Cricetulus griseus: one gene and its partners. The protein of the gene in region 3 interacts with the protein of the main gene of each other region in a biochemical or structural test. Links are inferred from orthologs where the notes say so. Each region holds a gene or a part of one and is shown on either strand. Other genes may lie near its edges.

The links. The genes of interacting proteins can lie anywhere in the genome.
Region 1: of the proteins of Rrad (region 3) and Camk2g, one has a biochemical effect on the other in vitro, tested with the Homo sapiens proteins (2 studies listed by BioGRID, with this or other methods). The link is inferred for Cricetulus griseus from reciprocal best matches to the Homo sapiens genes RRAD and CAMK2G.
Region 2: of the proteins of Rrad (region 3) and Prkaca, one has a biochemical effect on the other in vitro, tested with the Homo sapiens proteins (2 studies listed by BioGRID). The link is inferred for Cricetulus griseus from reciprocal best matches to the Homo sapiens genes RRAD and PRKACA.

Annotation. Positions count from the first base shown.
Region 1 is NW_023276807.1:200,185,887-200,189,993, reverse strand, and holds the start of Camk2g (calcium/calmodulin-dependent protein kinase type II subunit gamma), read right to left. Parts: upstream 2,801-4,107; 5' UTR 2,678-2,800; coding exon 2,613-2,677; intron 1,277-2,612; coding exon 1,182-1,276; intron 1-1,181.
Region 2 is NC_048596.1:160,443,328-160,447,268, forward strand, and holds the start of Prkaca (cAMP-dependent protein kinase catalytic subunit alpha), read right to left. Parts: upstream 2,801-3,941; 5' UTR 2,635-2,800; coding exon 2,589-2,634; intron 1-2,588.
Region 3 is NC_048596.1:180,903,060-180,907,277, reverse strand, and holds the start of Rrad (GTP-binding protein RAD), read left to right. Parts: upstream 1-1,418; 5' UTR 1,419-2,272; intron 2,273-4,218. UniProt on the Homo sapiens protein: May regulate basal voltage-dependent L-type Ca(2+) currents and be required for beta-adrenergic augmentation of Ca(2+) influx in cardiomyocytes, thereby regulating increases in heart rate and contractile force.

The DNA of each region.
Region 1 (4,107 bases), on a different chromosome or scaffold from region 3:
TAGGGAAAGACACCCAGGCCAGGAGGCAGACACAGCCCCATGGAACAGGTCCCAGAACAACTGCCAACACAACAGAAGTCCACTGTCATCTCTGTGGAATTTCAGAGCTTCTGGGTGCTTGGGACATCTATTATCTTGCCCTAGTGATACCCAAGTCATTATTGGCCAAAGACCACATCTTCCCCAGGGCATCTGTCCTGGCTCCTAATATATTTATGAGCATCCTATTGCCCAGCCCTAATTCCTTTCTCTGAGTCGCATAACCTTTGTCCCTGTGGTACTCCCTGAAGCTCTCCAGGACCTGGCCCCTGTATTAACCAGTCACCTCTCACTTCACACACTGCTGGGTCTACACCTATCAGATGAGGTAAGCTTGGCAAGCACCCAATACCAGCTTCAAAACTGTACATTCGAAGTGTTAAAGACAGGCCCTGGCTTCCCAGTCCTAGGTACTCAGTAGAATCTCCCAAGTGAGGCTCCAGGGCCTTGGGCGGTAGGCTCCTCACACACTGAGGCACTGCGGCTCTCTCAGACCAGACAGACAGACCACACCACTGGGGTTTCTAGACCATGAGGCATCATCACCCTCTGCTCAGGGCAGACTACATCTGCTGCTTCATCACCAACTTTGTAATTTGATCAAAAAAAGCAATCAAGTTCATCTGGTAGGATTTGTTCCCCAGAAGCCCTCGCCAGTAGCAGCCTCCCCTGATGTTTACAGATTCCCTTCCCTTGGGAGTCTGTTCTGCCTCCTGGTGGGCAGGGGAGGCTAGATTCATCAGAACTGCTCATTTACTGCATTCCCATACCAAGTTACCACCAGGGCACAAGGCTAGGACAAGCATGTCGTGGCCATCACTGCCCTAAAGAGGGGGGGCTCTACATACCCTAAATTAAGAGCTTTTCATTCCATACCACCTACCACCAATTTTCCACTAAGAACTTGAACCTCCTCAATCCTTTGGCGGCCATTCCAGCCATCCGCATCACTTTTTTCCTTCTTCTCCTGAGCACTTCCAATTCCCTCACACCTCCTTGTCTGGCTTCAAAAATCCACCCACCTTGAAATTCCAACTAATCTCCAAGTGCTAAAACACATACTCCCCCAACTCCTAGGGCATCTGCAGAAGACCTATCTTTGGAAGGATCCTCAAGGTGAGGACCAGATAGGGAACACTCACCTCGGGCTGACAACTTCTTGGTATTGATGATTTTTGCTGCATATTCCTGCGTAGATGTTTTCTTCACACACCTTCGGACCACTGAGAAGGCACCCCTGGAGGGAAGAGGGGGAAAGAACTGGGACATGGAACCAACCAAAGTGACACAGACATACATACTTCAGATGAGGACAGAGATGCTCCCACCACCAGACTTGTATTGACAACCAATGGCTAACACAAGAATGATGAGACCACCCCATGGCACTAAACGATGTGGGTGGAGTACCACCTGGCTCCCACCATGTCATCTAAGTTCTTGGGCAAAGAAAGCAACAGCCCCAACCTCAGACTGTCCACACTCCTGGTGGGCGGTGCTTCAAATACACACCTGCTGCATCTCACTGATAGCCTTGCGGTCCCAGCAAAGGCAACCAGGAGATCGAGGGAACAGGGAGACATTGCTCTTTCTCTCAACAGAAATCATTAAGAATAAGGGAAGGGTAGATTAAACAGAAGGTATGATTTCCTGAGGAATTTTCCCTTAAGCCTGGGCAAAGTGAGGCTCAAGACCCGCTAAACTGGCTTAAACCCACAGCATCCCCGCTCGGCTGACAGCAGGGAAATAGAAGGACAGTTCTGAGTCTGACAGCAGTAACTCCCCTTCCCCAAGCTATTTTTCCTCTGCATGACCCGCCAAATGGGCTGCGATCTCGGGCTCTGTAAATATCCAGGGGGTGGGCAGAGCGGGGGCTGCAGTGGCCAGGCTCCGCACCGTGGGTGGGGGTGGCGGGGACCCAGGCTGCGGCGGCGGCGGCGGCGGCGGCCAGTTCAGTGCGGAGGGGAGGGGGATGCTGCGGCTGCGGCGCACAGCTCCCGGGACCACTGCAGGGATGGGGGGAGGGGCCGGGGGTGCCGCAGCACTGCCCAGCAGCAAGGCTGGGATCCTGGAAGCGGCACTAGCGGGGGGCGGGGCCCGGCACTAACCATCTCCCCACACCCGAGCACCGCAGCGGGGCTGGAGCTGCAGAGCTGGGGAGGGTCCTGAGTGCCAGGCGCGTGGGAACTGGGGAGACCAGATACAGAGTGGGCTCGGGAGCCGGGTGGGGAGGGGGCGGTGGGCAGGCGGGGTCGAGAGAGGGGAGCGTCTGAAGGGTGCGGGAGGGGCGGGGCTGGAAGGCGCCCTGGAGCAGTCCTGGGGCTGCAGTTCCCGCGGCAGCGCCGGGTGCAGCAGCCCGGCAGCTGCTGCAGGGAGCAGAGGGGACTGCGGGACAGGGAACCGAGGGCCAAGGGACCCCGAGGCAGCACGCGGGAAAAGCTGGGGGTGGGGCGGGTCGAGGGGGCGCTGCAGCGGCCGGTGCAGGGCCGGGGGGGCGGGGCGAGAAGCCGCATAGCGCCCGGGCGTCTGGGCTAGGGTGAGGGGGGCCGCCGCGTGAGGCGGGTGGGCCGTACTTGCCGAGCTCCTCGAAAAGCTGGTAGTCGTCGGTGAAGCGGGTGCAGGTGGCGGTGGTGGCCATACTGGAGGGCGGGCAGGCGGGCGGGCGGACGCGGCGGTGCAGCCCGCGCCGACGTCGGTGCACAGTCACCGCCGCCCGGCCGAGGGAGCAAGAGGAGGAGACGGGGCTGAGCCCGGCAGCACCGCGAGACTTTACCGGAGAGAGCGAGGGAGGGAGGGACCCCCGCGCCCGCCCGCCCGCCGGCCCCGCCCCCCCCGCTGGCCCCGCCCCGCCCCGGGGAGGGGCCTTCCGCCGCCGGCCCCGCCCCACCCCGGGAGCCGCCCGAACTGGGCCCCCTGCGGCAGGGGGCTGGGAACGCGGGGGTCCCGTCCCCGACCCGCCTACTCGGACCGAGCGAACGGAAAGGTTCACGCTGTGGGATCCTCCCGGGAAGACCCTGCAAGAGCTAAGGAACGAGTGTGCGAAAGTGTTATTTTGAGTTTTGGAGGGTCTGGACCACCGAGGTCTGGGGAGAGGCCCCACACGTGGGTCCCAAACCTGCAGCCTGAACCAAGAAAATGCCAAGGTCAAAGATCTTGTGCTAGACTGTATACTCGGGAGATGCCCTCAAACTGTGCAGAGCCAGCTGCTAGCAGCCTTCCCTCAGGGTGCCGACATTCTAGACTGGTGCGAGAATCAAGGGCATCATTAGAAAAAAACAAAACAAAACAAAATAACCTTCAGCCACCGTTTTATCAGGGAAACCAAGAGGGGTGAGGTGGGGGGGGGGCAAGTTGTTTGCTTGCTTTTCTTTCTTTCTTTTATTTATTCCGTATGTGTGTGGCATTCTGGGTGCCACAGCGCACGTGTGGAGGTCAGAGAACAATCTGGGGAGTTGGTTCTCTTCACCACGGGGGATGTGACTCTCTGGTCGTCAGGCATAGTGCAATAGCCTTTACTCGCAGAGCTGTCTTGCTGGCTGTGTGATGCTTTCCAATCGTAGAGATAAATGTTCTCTCCTAGATCAGTAATGAAAGATAAAAGTGAGGATGTCTTTTTATAAAAAAAAAAAAAAGGCTTTGTGCATTGGTGGCTAAAAGCAGGAGTAGATGAAAGCATACTCATTTTCTTACTTTTATGGCACTTTATGAAATTTTGTAATGATACATTTTCAGGTGTGAGTGCTAGCACACATTATCGAGAACTCCTGGATCATACCACCTAGCTCGATTTCAGGACAACTCGTTGACCTTAGGCAATTCAATCTTTCTGAGCCTCAGTTACCTTATTTGAGAACTGGGAATAAAAATACAGTATACTTCCTAAAGCTGTGAACATTTACTGGTTTAGAATAATCCTCAATACCTAAATAAAAGTGTTGGCAGCTATTATTTAGTATTTGTCTTCCCACTAAACTGTGTGCTTCAATGGAACCCCTGAATATTCAGCTCCTGACCACCCCTTCTGTGTTTATGGAATGGCAGGAGTTACCACCCTTCCTTTCTGTCTCC
Region 2 (3,941 bases), about 20 Mb from region 3:
TCCTTTATAGCAGCCCAGGTTGGCTTCAAACTCAGGTCCTTCAGCCTCACAGTTCCTCTTTTGCTTGATAAAGTTATGAGTTGCTGTGCCTGTTTGATATTTTAAATTTTTTACATTTATGGTGTGTGCACACACACTCTTATGGAGGTCAGAGGACAACTTGTAGGAGTTAAGTTTTCCCCTTCCACCATGTAGGTCCCAGGAAAACAACTCAAGACTGGCATGCTTGGCAGCAAACATCTTTACCTGCTAGGCCATCTTGATGAACACAGATTTTATCTGTATTTTGATACAAGGTTCTGCTGTCACCCAATCCAGCCTTTAATTCCTGGGCTCAAACAATCCTGCCTCAGCCTCTTGAATCGCTGGTAGCACCAATATACACTATTATTCACAGTATGTTTTTATCATTTTAAATTAAGAAAGTATGGCTAGGGTTTAACTCCTGTGGAGGCAGCTTAAGAATGAATGAAGGCTGGACATGGTGATGCACGCCTTTAATCCCAGCACTTGGGAAGCAGAGACAAGCAAATCTCTATGAGTTTGAGGCCAGCCTGATCTACAGAAAGAGTTCTGGGTCAGCTGGAGCTACACAGAGAGACCCTTGTCTCAAAAGCTAAAACAAACAAAAGAATGTCTAAGTTGAAACATTCTGGGGTCCAAGAGATCTTTGGGTAGACAGATCTGGGTGTGAATTCTGCTGCATGATGTCATCTGTGTCAAACTCAGATGGCTCATTTGGACAAAAGTCATCAAAATAAGTCTGTCTACAGAGCCCATTTAAGTTAGCCCTCTTGGATGCCTGATAAACAGTAGCTGGATTTCATCCCAACAAAAACAGCTGGCCAACTCGGAGACTGATCTTTTTCTTGGACCCCTTTATCCTCTGTAGCTCTTAGTTTCTGCTGAATGTGTCTGATATGCTTGAAGCTTTTTCAGCACTATGTCCCCTCAGTTTTCAAAAGGCTACTGCAATATACACCCCACTGCCAGAACCATCTACCTCCTGGTGGGCCTCACCTGCCAAGGGGGATGGCCCTCCCCTTCTGCCTGGGCCCCTCCAAGCTCAAGTCCAAGACCTTTTTGGGCACTACCCACCTGCTCCTGTCATCAAGCCCTCAACTACAAGCACTTGCCTCTCCGTCCCCCGCCCATCAGTGACATGCCAGGCCTCTTTAGACTGCCCCGCTGTTTGAAAGGGGGGAGGGGCAGAAAGTTCTTGGGCTTCGGTGGCATTCTGGGGACTCAAACACTGAGAAGGGCAGAGCTGGTCACAGCCCCTCCCCCCTTTTGGTGGGTCTGACTATTTCTGGGTAACTGAAGGGGATCTGCTTTAGCTTAGAATTACACCACTTTAAGAGGTGAGAGCATTGGGAACAGGCACAAGGTCCTTCTGAAGGCATTTCAAATACAGAATCAGTTTCTTTACCTGGCTGGAAAAATTCAGCATGTTTGGGGTGGGGAAGGGGGGAGTAGAACACACCTCCCTTTGGATGAGTCCAGGGTATGCACAGTATCCATCTGTCCTCAACAAACCAAATCATTAGCTGTCACCTTTTGCTGGGTGTCGTTACCCTACCCTTGCAATTCCTTTCTGACCATCCCAATTCAAGTCGAATGAGCCCTTGCTAACACATTTCATTCTCAGCCTTGAACCAGGCAGAGCGAAACAGTCCCAGGGACTGGGTGAATGACAGAACTGCAGTTGTGAAACGACCATTTATTGAGGGGCCTTCCAAGGAACCCAGAGCTTAGGGCAGGCCAGGAGATGGGAGGGTGCTCTGCCGATTTCCCCCACCCGCAACCCAAGAAAGAGGACAGACGCAATGGCTCTGAGCGAGACCAGCTAGAACTTGGATCTGGAAGCGCAGAAGCAGCTCTCTAGGTTCATAAACAGTCTGCCCACCCCAGCCAGGGCCAGACGCTTACATGGAGGAGGCAGAGTGACAGGATGAGAGGGGCAGAGGGACCCAGAAAGATCTTGTTCCCCATGCCAAGTGACACAGAAAGGGGAAAACAATGCAGGAGGTGGTCCTGGGAAACGCTCATGGGGCAAGGGGGCTTGGAGATGGGAGAATCGAGCAGGGATAGGAGAAAGATGGCGGGGGCTGGAGGGGGAGGGGTGTGGTCACCAAGTAGCTAAGGTCCCTGCAGAGTGGACCCCACAGCACTCCCGAGATTGGCAGGAGGCTGGATCAGGGTCAGGCATTGGGGCGCTGTGTGGAAAAGGTGAGTGACGAAGTGTGGGGGGATTAGAATATGGGGAAAGGGACTAGGAGAGGAGGGGGTGGGGTGGTGACAGGGCCCCATCTGGGGCCCCGGCGGTCATGCATGCAATGGTTGGCAGTGACAGCTGGGTGGGGGTGCACGGCCTTTAACGTGGGGGATGGTCGGCCATGGGCACGGGAGCCCTACCAGGGGCAAGGTTCCTCTGCGGTGCTCGGACCCCAGCGTGGACAGGCAGCAGGCAGCAGGCAGGGGTGCAGGCGGACAGGATGGGGGGGCACATGGGGGAGGGGCCATGCAGCGATGGCCAGAGCGAGGGCAGGCCGCAGCAGCCGGGACTAGGGTGACGGCCGGGAACTCACCGCTCTCCTGCTCGCTGCCCTTCTTGGCGGCGGCGGCGTTGCCCATCGCGGCGGCGTCGCGGCCGGGACCGGTCCCGGAGCTGCGGCGCGGCGGGTGCTAAGGCGGCCGGCGTCCCCGGAGCGTGCTGGGCAGCGGAGGCGGCGGCCCCTGGGGCTGGCTGCGCTGGCTGCGGCGCCACGACCCCCGCCCAGCCCCTGCTTCCCGCGTCTCTCTGCGCCCGCCCGCGGGGGAGCCTCAGCCCAAGTCCTCTGTCCGTGACGCCCCCGCACCCCGCCGCCCATTGGTTCAGGCCTCCCTGACAGACAGCCTCGCGCCGTTGTCCATTGGCCCTCCGAAACCTTCCCGCGCTACCATAGGCTCCCGGATGCTTGACGCGAGCTGCAGACGCTCAGCCACTCACGGGCTCGCGAGGCCGTAGTCGGGCGGTCGGATGCATGTGATTGGCCGAGAAGCCCAACAGGGCTTGGGGCTCGCCCTGCGAGGCCGCCGATTGGCTGAGGCGCGCGGCCTCAGTCAGTGTCAATCCCAGGGTGAGAGGGCGGGGTAGCTGCGCAGGCTGCGGCCCGGGGGGGCAGGCGTGCGGGCGGGGCGGCGGCTGGAGGGTAGCCGGGCGGCAGACGCTGCAAGGTGCGGGAGGCGGCCCCAGCGGACGCCGGTGCGGCACCGTGAGCCCTGCAGTCTCCCGCCCTGCCCAGTGCGGCAGCGGCCACGGGCCAGCGGAGGTTGACGCCACGGCGGGCCGGCGCAGAGGCTTGTCCACCTGCCAGCGGGGGAGGGGCCGACTGGCGCCGCGGGTCAGAGGTCGCCGGGCGCCGTTCGGCGTCATTCATAAGGCCTGACGCTGGGCGGCCGTGACCCGGCCAGCTCGGAGTTCTCCTTGTTTGCTCTAGCCACAGCCGGAGCTGCAAGAGGATGCTGGATCCAAAAGTGAGGGCAGGCTGGGAGGAGACTCTTAATGTCCCGTTTACTGTGGCCCAGCCTTAGGCCCCTGAAAAGTAATAACGAGGACACTGGCCAAGTACATGACTTCTCGTTCCCAGCACATTGGAACTGTCACACTCCCATTTGATGGAGGAGGAATGGTGAGACTGGTTCCTTGCTCTAGTCCATTTGCCTGGACATCGCTATCTGGAACCTGCCCTCTGGGGACAGGCAGGGAGCCATTCTCGTTCCTTCTGGATGCCCATCTTTAAATTTTGTTTTCATGCAATGCAGGGGTTGAACACAATGCCTACCAGCTGCTAAGCAAGCATTGTTCCTTGCCCAGGGTACTCTTTCAAGTCTGTGCTGCCAGAACAGGGTCAGTTTCCCACTGTGCCACTGACATCAGGGGCCTGAGCACTCTGCTGGAG
Region 3 (4,218 bases):
TAGTCCCAGAACTCAGGAGACTGAGGCAAGCAGATAATCTGATTTTTGAGGCCAGCCTAGTCTACACAGAGAGTTTTAACTAAAGCTATATAGAGAGGCCCTGACTCAAAAAATGAAAATAAATCTTTTTTTTTTTTTTTAGCTCTTCTAGTGCTTCAGTTAGCAAAAGTTGCAAATGAAAAAAAAAAAAATCTTTAAAGAAATATATAAATACCTGGATAGCCAAACCACCAATGGATTCAGTAGTTTCAGTTGACCTGTTGTGACACTGGCCTTATTTGTGTGTGTTTACAGAACTATTTCTAGAGGAACCTACAGAGACATAAAGAACTATGTCCTAAATTGATATAAGTCTGCTGTCTTAGTTTCTTTTCTGTTGCTGGGTTTTTTGTGGGTTTTTTTTTTTGTTTGTTTGTTTTTTGTTTTTTCGAGACAGGGTTTCTCTGTGGCTTTGGAGGCTGCCCTGGAACTAGCTCTTGTAGACCAGGCTGGTCTCGAACTCACAGAGATCCTCCTGTCTCTGCCTCCTGAGTGCTGGGATTAAAGGCGTGCACCACCAATGCCCGGCTTTCTGTTGCTGTTTTAAGACCCCATGACTAAGGCAACTTATAAAAGAAATGTTTATTTTATGGTTTACAGTTTCAGAGGGCTAGAGTCCATGATGGCACTGAAGTGACAAGGCAAGAGCTCACATCTTAATCCACTAGTTGGGAGTCAGAAAGAGAGGGACACTGGGAATAATATGAGTCTTTTGAAACCTCAAAGCCTACCCCCAGTAACACACCTCCTCCAATAAGTCAACCCCTCCTAATTCTTGCCAGTTCCACCAGCTGGAAACCAAGTATTCAGATATATGAGCCTGTAGGGGCCATTCTCACTCAAACCACCACCACATCTGTATAACACAGTTCTTTATCTGACCAAAAATTGAGCCATTCTGATCTGAGAATAATAGTGCATGCCTGTAATTCCAGGTCATCCTTAGCTAGTAGTAAGTTTAAAGTTAACTTACATGAGCCTGTCTCAAAACAGCAAAAAAGCTAATATCCAGTATCCAGTCACATATGAGTTTTCCAGAAACAGTACTTGGATCCTTCCCAAATTCTATATGTTGTATTTGGTTCTCTCTAGCATCTAAGATTTTCTCTCCCCTTCCCACTGGTAATCAGTTTTCCATAACTACATACATGAAGTAACTTATAAAGGAAACAAGTTTGGAGGCTGGAGAGATGGCCAGCAATTAAGAACATGTACTGTTCTTCTAGAAGACCTGAGTTTGGTTCCCAGCACCCATATCAGATAGCTCAGGACCACCTGTAACTCCAGTTCCAGAGGATCCAACACCCTCTTCTTGCCTCTACAGGCACTTAGCACACCATGTGGCATACACACATACATATAAATAAAAAATAAATTGGGTTTTGTTTTGATTTGCTTTTTTTTTTTTTTTTTTTTAGAAGGGGGCTGCAGAGATGACTCAGCAGTGTAAAGTACTTGTTCCTCTTGCGGAGGACCAAGGTTTGATTACTAGCATCTCCATGGTGGCTCACAAGCATCCATAACTCTAGTTCCAGGGGACCTGATGCCCTCTTCTGGCTTCTACAGGCACCAGGCATGCCTGTGATGCATAGGCATACATGCTGGCAAAATTCATAAAATAAATCTTTTTTAAAATCTTTGAAATAGATTAATTTTGGCTTACTGCTTTGGAGGTTTTGGTCCATTGTAATTGGTAGTGCTGTTTTGAGTCCTGTGGTGAAGTAGCACATTGCTACAAGAGTATATAGCAGAGGGGAAAAAAAAGGATTAAGACCAGCCAGGGTTACAGTCCATGCTTCAAGTGCATGTTCTTGAAGAGCTCCCATTAGACACCCCCCTGTCGCTCCACTTGGAAGAATAAGCCTTTGACACTTGGACTTTAGGAATGTTTTCAGATCCAGGCTATAGCCCCTACCCTTGTACATCTTAATTCTGACCTAATCCCCCCACCAAAAAAAAAAAAAATCCCAGAGGGTCCCACCATGTGGTGGTTCCTTGTCCACAGGAGGTTAGTCTAAAGGCCCAAATAAGCTCAGGTTTGAGGGGTTTGCCCAGGAGTGGTGTGTGTGCTGTGACACTTAACCTGTAGGTAGGGTACCTATTTGTCCACTGATGCTGATGCTTAGCCTAGTCCCCAGGTCAAAATAGTAATACTCATTTTCTCTACTGAAAGGATCCTGGGGAATCTTCATCATCCATCCTTCCAGGGGTTTGTGTCATCCCAGGATGCTGGGTAAGCGAAGTGAAGTTCTATAAAGTGATATGGCTGTGTCTGGGGCCTCTGCCTCCTGTTGGCCCTGTGCCCAGAGTGTACTTTGTCATCTCAGAGAGACCACTGGTCTTAGATCTTAGCCATTGGAAGCTCTTTCCCAGGACTGCCTCAGGATTTTCTGCTTCAGTCTCTTTCTCTGGTGGGATGCCCACCCCTACTGGAGCCCAGACATAACTGTGGGTGGTGTCCTAATGAATCCTCATCAGAGAGCCTAGGCTCTTGAACTGTCGAATTGTTTGCTTCTTCATTTGTTTGTTTTGGCTGCTTGAGTCAAGGTCTTACTGTCTCTGTGGCCTAGGCTGGCTTTGAACTCACTGTATAGCCTGGGCTGCCTCAGACTTAGTCCCTAGTGCTGGGATTGTACACCTGTGCCACCATGCCCAGCTCAGCAAATCACCTTGCTCAAGTGTGGTGGTTGCTTTTCTTCCTCATCTACACTTAGCAGTTGAGGAGTAATCTAGGAGAATATCCTAAAGACTTCCAGCTACAGATAAAAATACTGCTCCCTTGGCAAGGGTTGCTGTTGCCTCCAATAAAAAGGCCTAGGCCCATCCCAGACCACAGCAGCTCCTACTGTTCTCAGTTCATTCTTAGGAGTGGCTTTGCCAACCTGATGACTAAAAAGATGATGTGACTACCCAAGACCAAGACGAAGCCACTGGTCCATGTCAGTCAGTTTCTCATCTGTTCACATGGCAATCCCTTTGGGACTGCTCTGTGCACATGTAAACTCTCCCTTGGCCTGTCTCCAATGATCTTCCAGACTCTTTGGTCTGCCATTTTCACAAGTGAAAGAACTGAGTGTTTCAGAGAGATGGAGTGACCCATCAGGGTGATAAGGCTCAAAGATCCTCCCCAAGCTATGGCCTCACCACAAATGAACCTCAGCATGGCAAGCCACATCTGTCTGAGGTGGCCATGGTATCTGAATTCAGCCATATTCAGAGTAAGCAGGTGCTTTTGAGTCTGACTGGCTTTCCTGGTGGCCAGGCCACTAGAGTGAAAGACACCAAGCTGCTAACATTTCAGTCCCTTTGAGATTTTTGTGAATTTTTATGTATGTGTGGATGTATGTATGTATGTGAGGGTGTAGGATCCCCTGGAACTGGAGTTACAGGTACGTGTAAGCTGCCACGTCGGGGCTGGGAATTGAACCCAGGACCTTTGAAAGAACAACCAGTACTCTTAATTGCTGAGCCATCTTTCCAGCCCCACTCTGACATTCTTGACTTATCTGTGCCTGGCCACTGGCTGTCTGTAGGACACCATCTGTGAATACTGGACTAGCTCCCAATGAACTTTCTGGAACCCCAGCTGTGCTAGGAAGGCACAGTGTGGCTGGACACCACCTGTGAATACTGGACTAGCTCCCAATGAACTTTCTGGAACCCCAGCTGTGCTAGGAAGGCACAGTGTGGCTGGAGGAAGATGAAGTTTAAGACCTCTGAGGCCTTCCACCACATATATCCAACTGCTATTTCTGGACTGTTATCCCTCCAGCCTTGGTTACTATGTCTACACAATGGGAATAACAAATCACAGCTAAATGAGATTGCCTCAGAGATTAGATGACACATAGGAACACACTCACCTACATTTATTTTCTCCCGTCATCTTGCCTTTGACAAAAGTGTCTGGCACACAGTTACTTAGTATGGCTCAGTGAAATAGATGGATGAAGTCACAGAACAGAGCAGAGGCCCTGAAGCAAGAGGGCTGTGGTGTAAGCAGGGCTGGGGATGCTGATGGACAGCTGTATTAGTTACTTTTTTCATTGCTGTGACAAGATACATGACAAGAAACAACTGAGGGAAGGAAGGGTTTGTTTTGGCTTGCAGGCTGAGAATATATCTTGTGGTAAGGAGGCATGGCTTCCAACATGTGAGGCAGCTGGTCATGCTGCACCA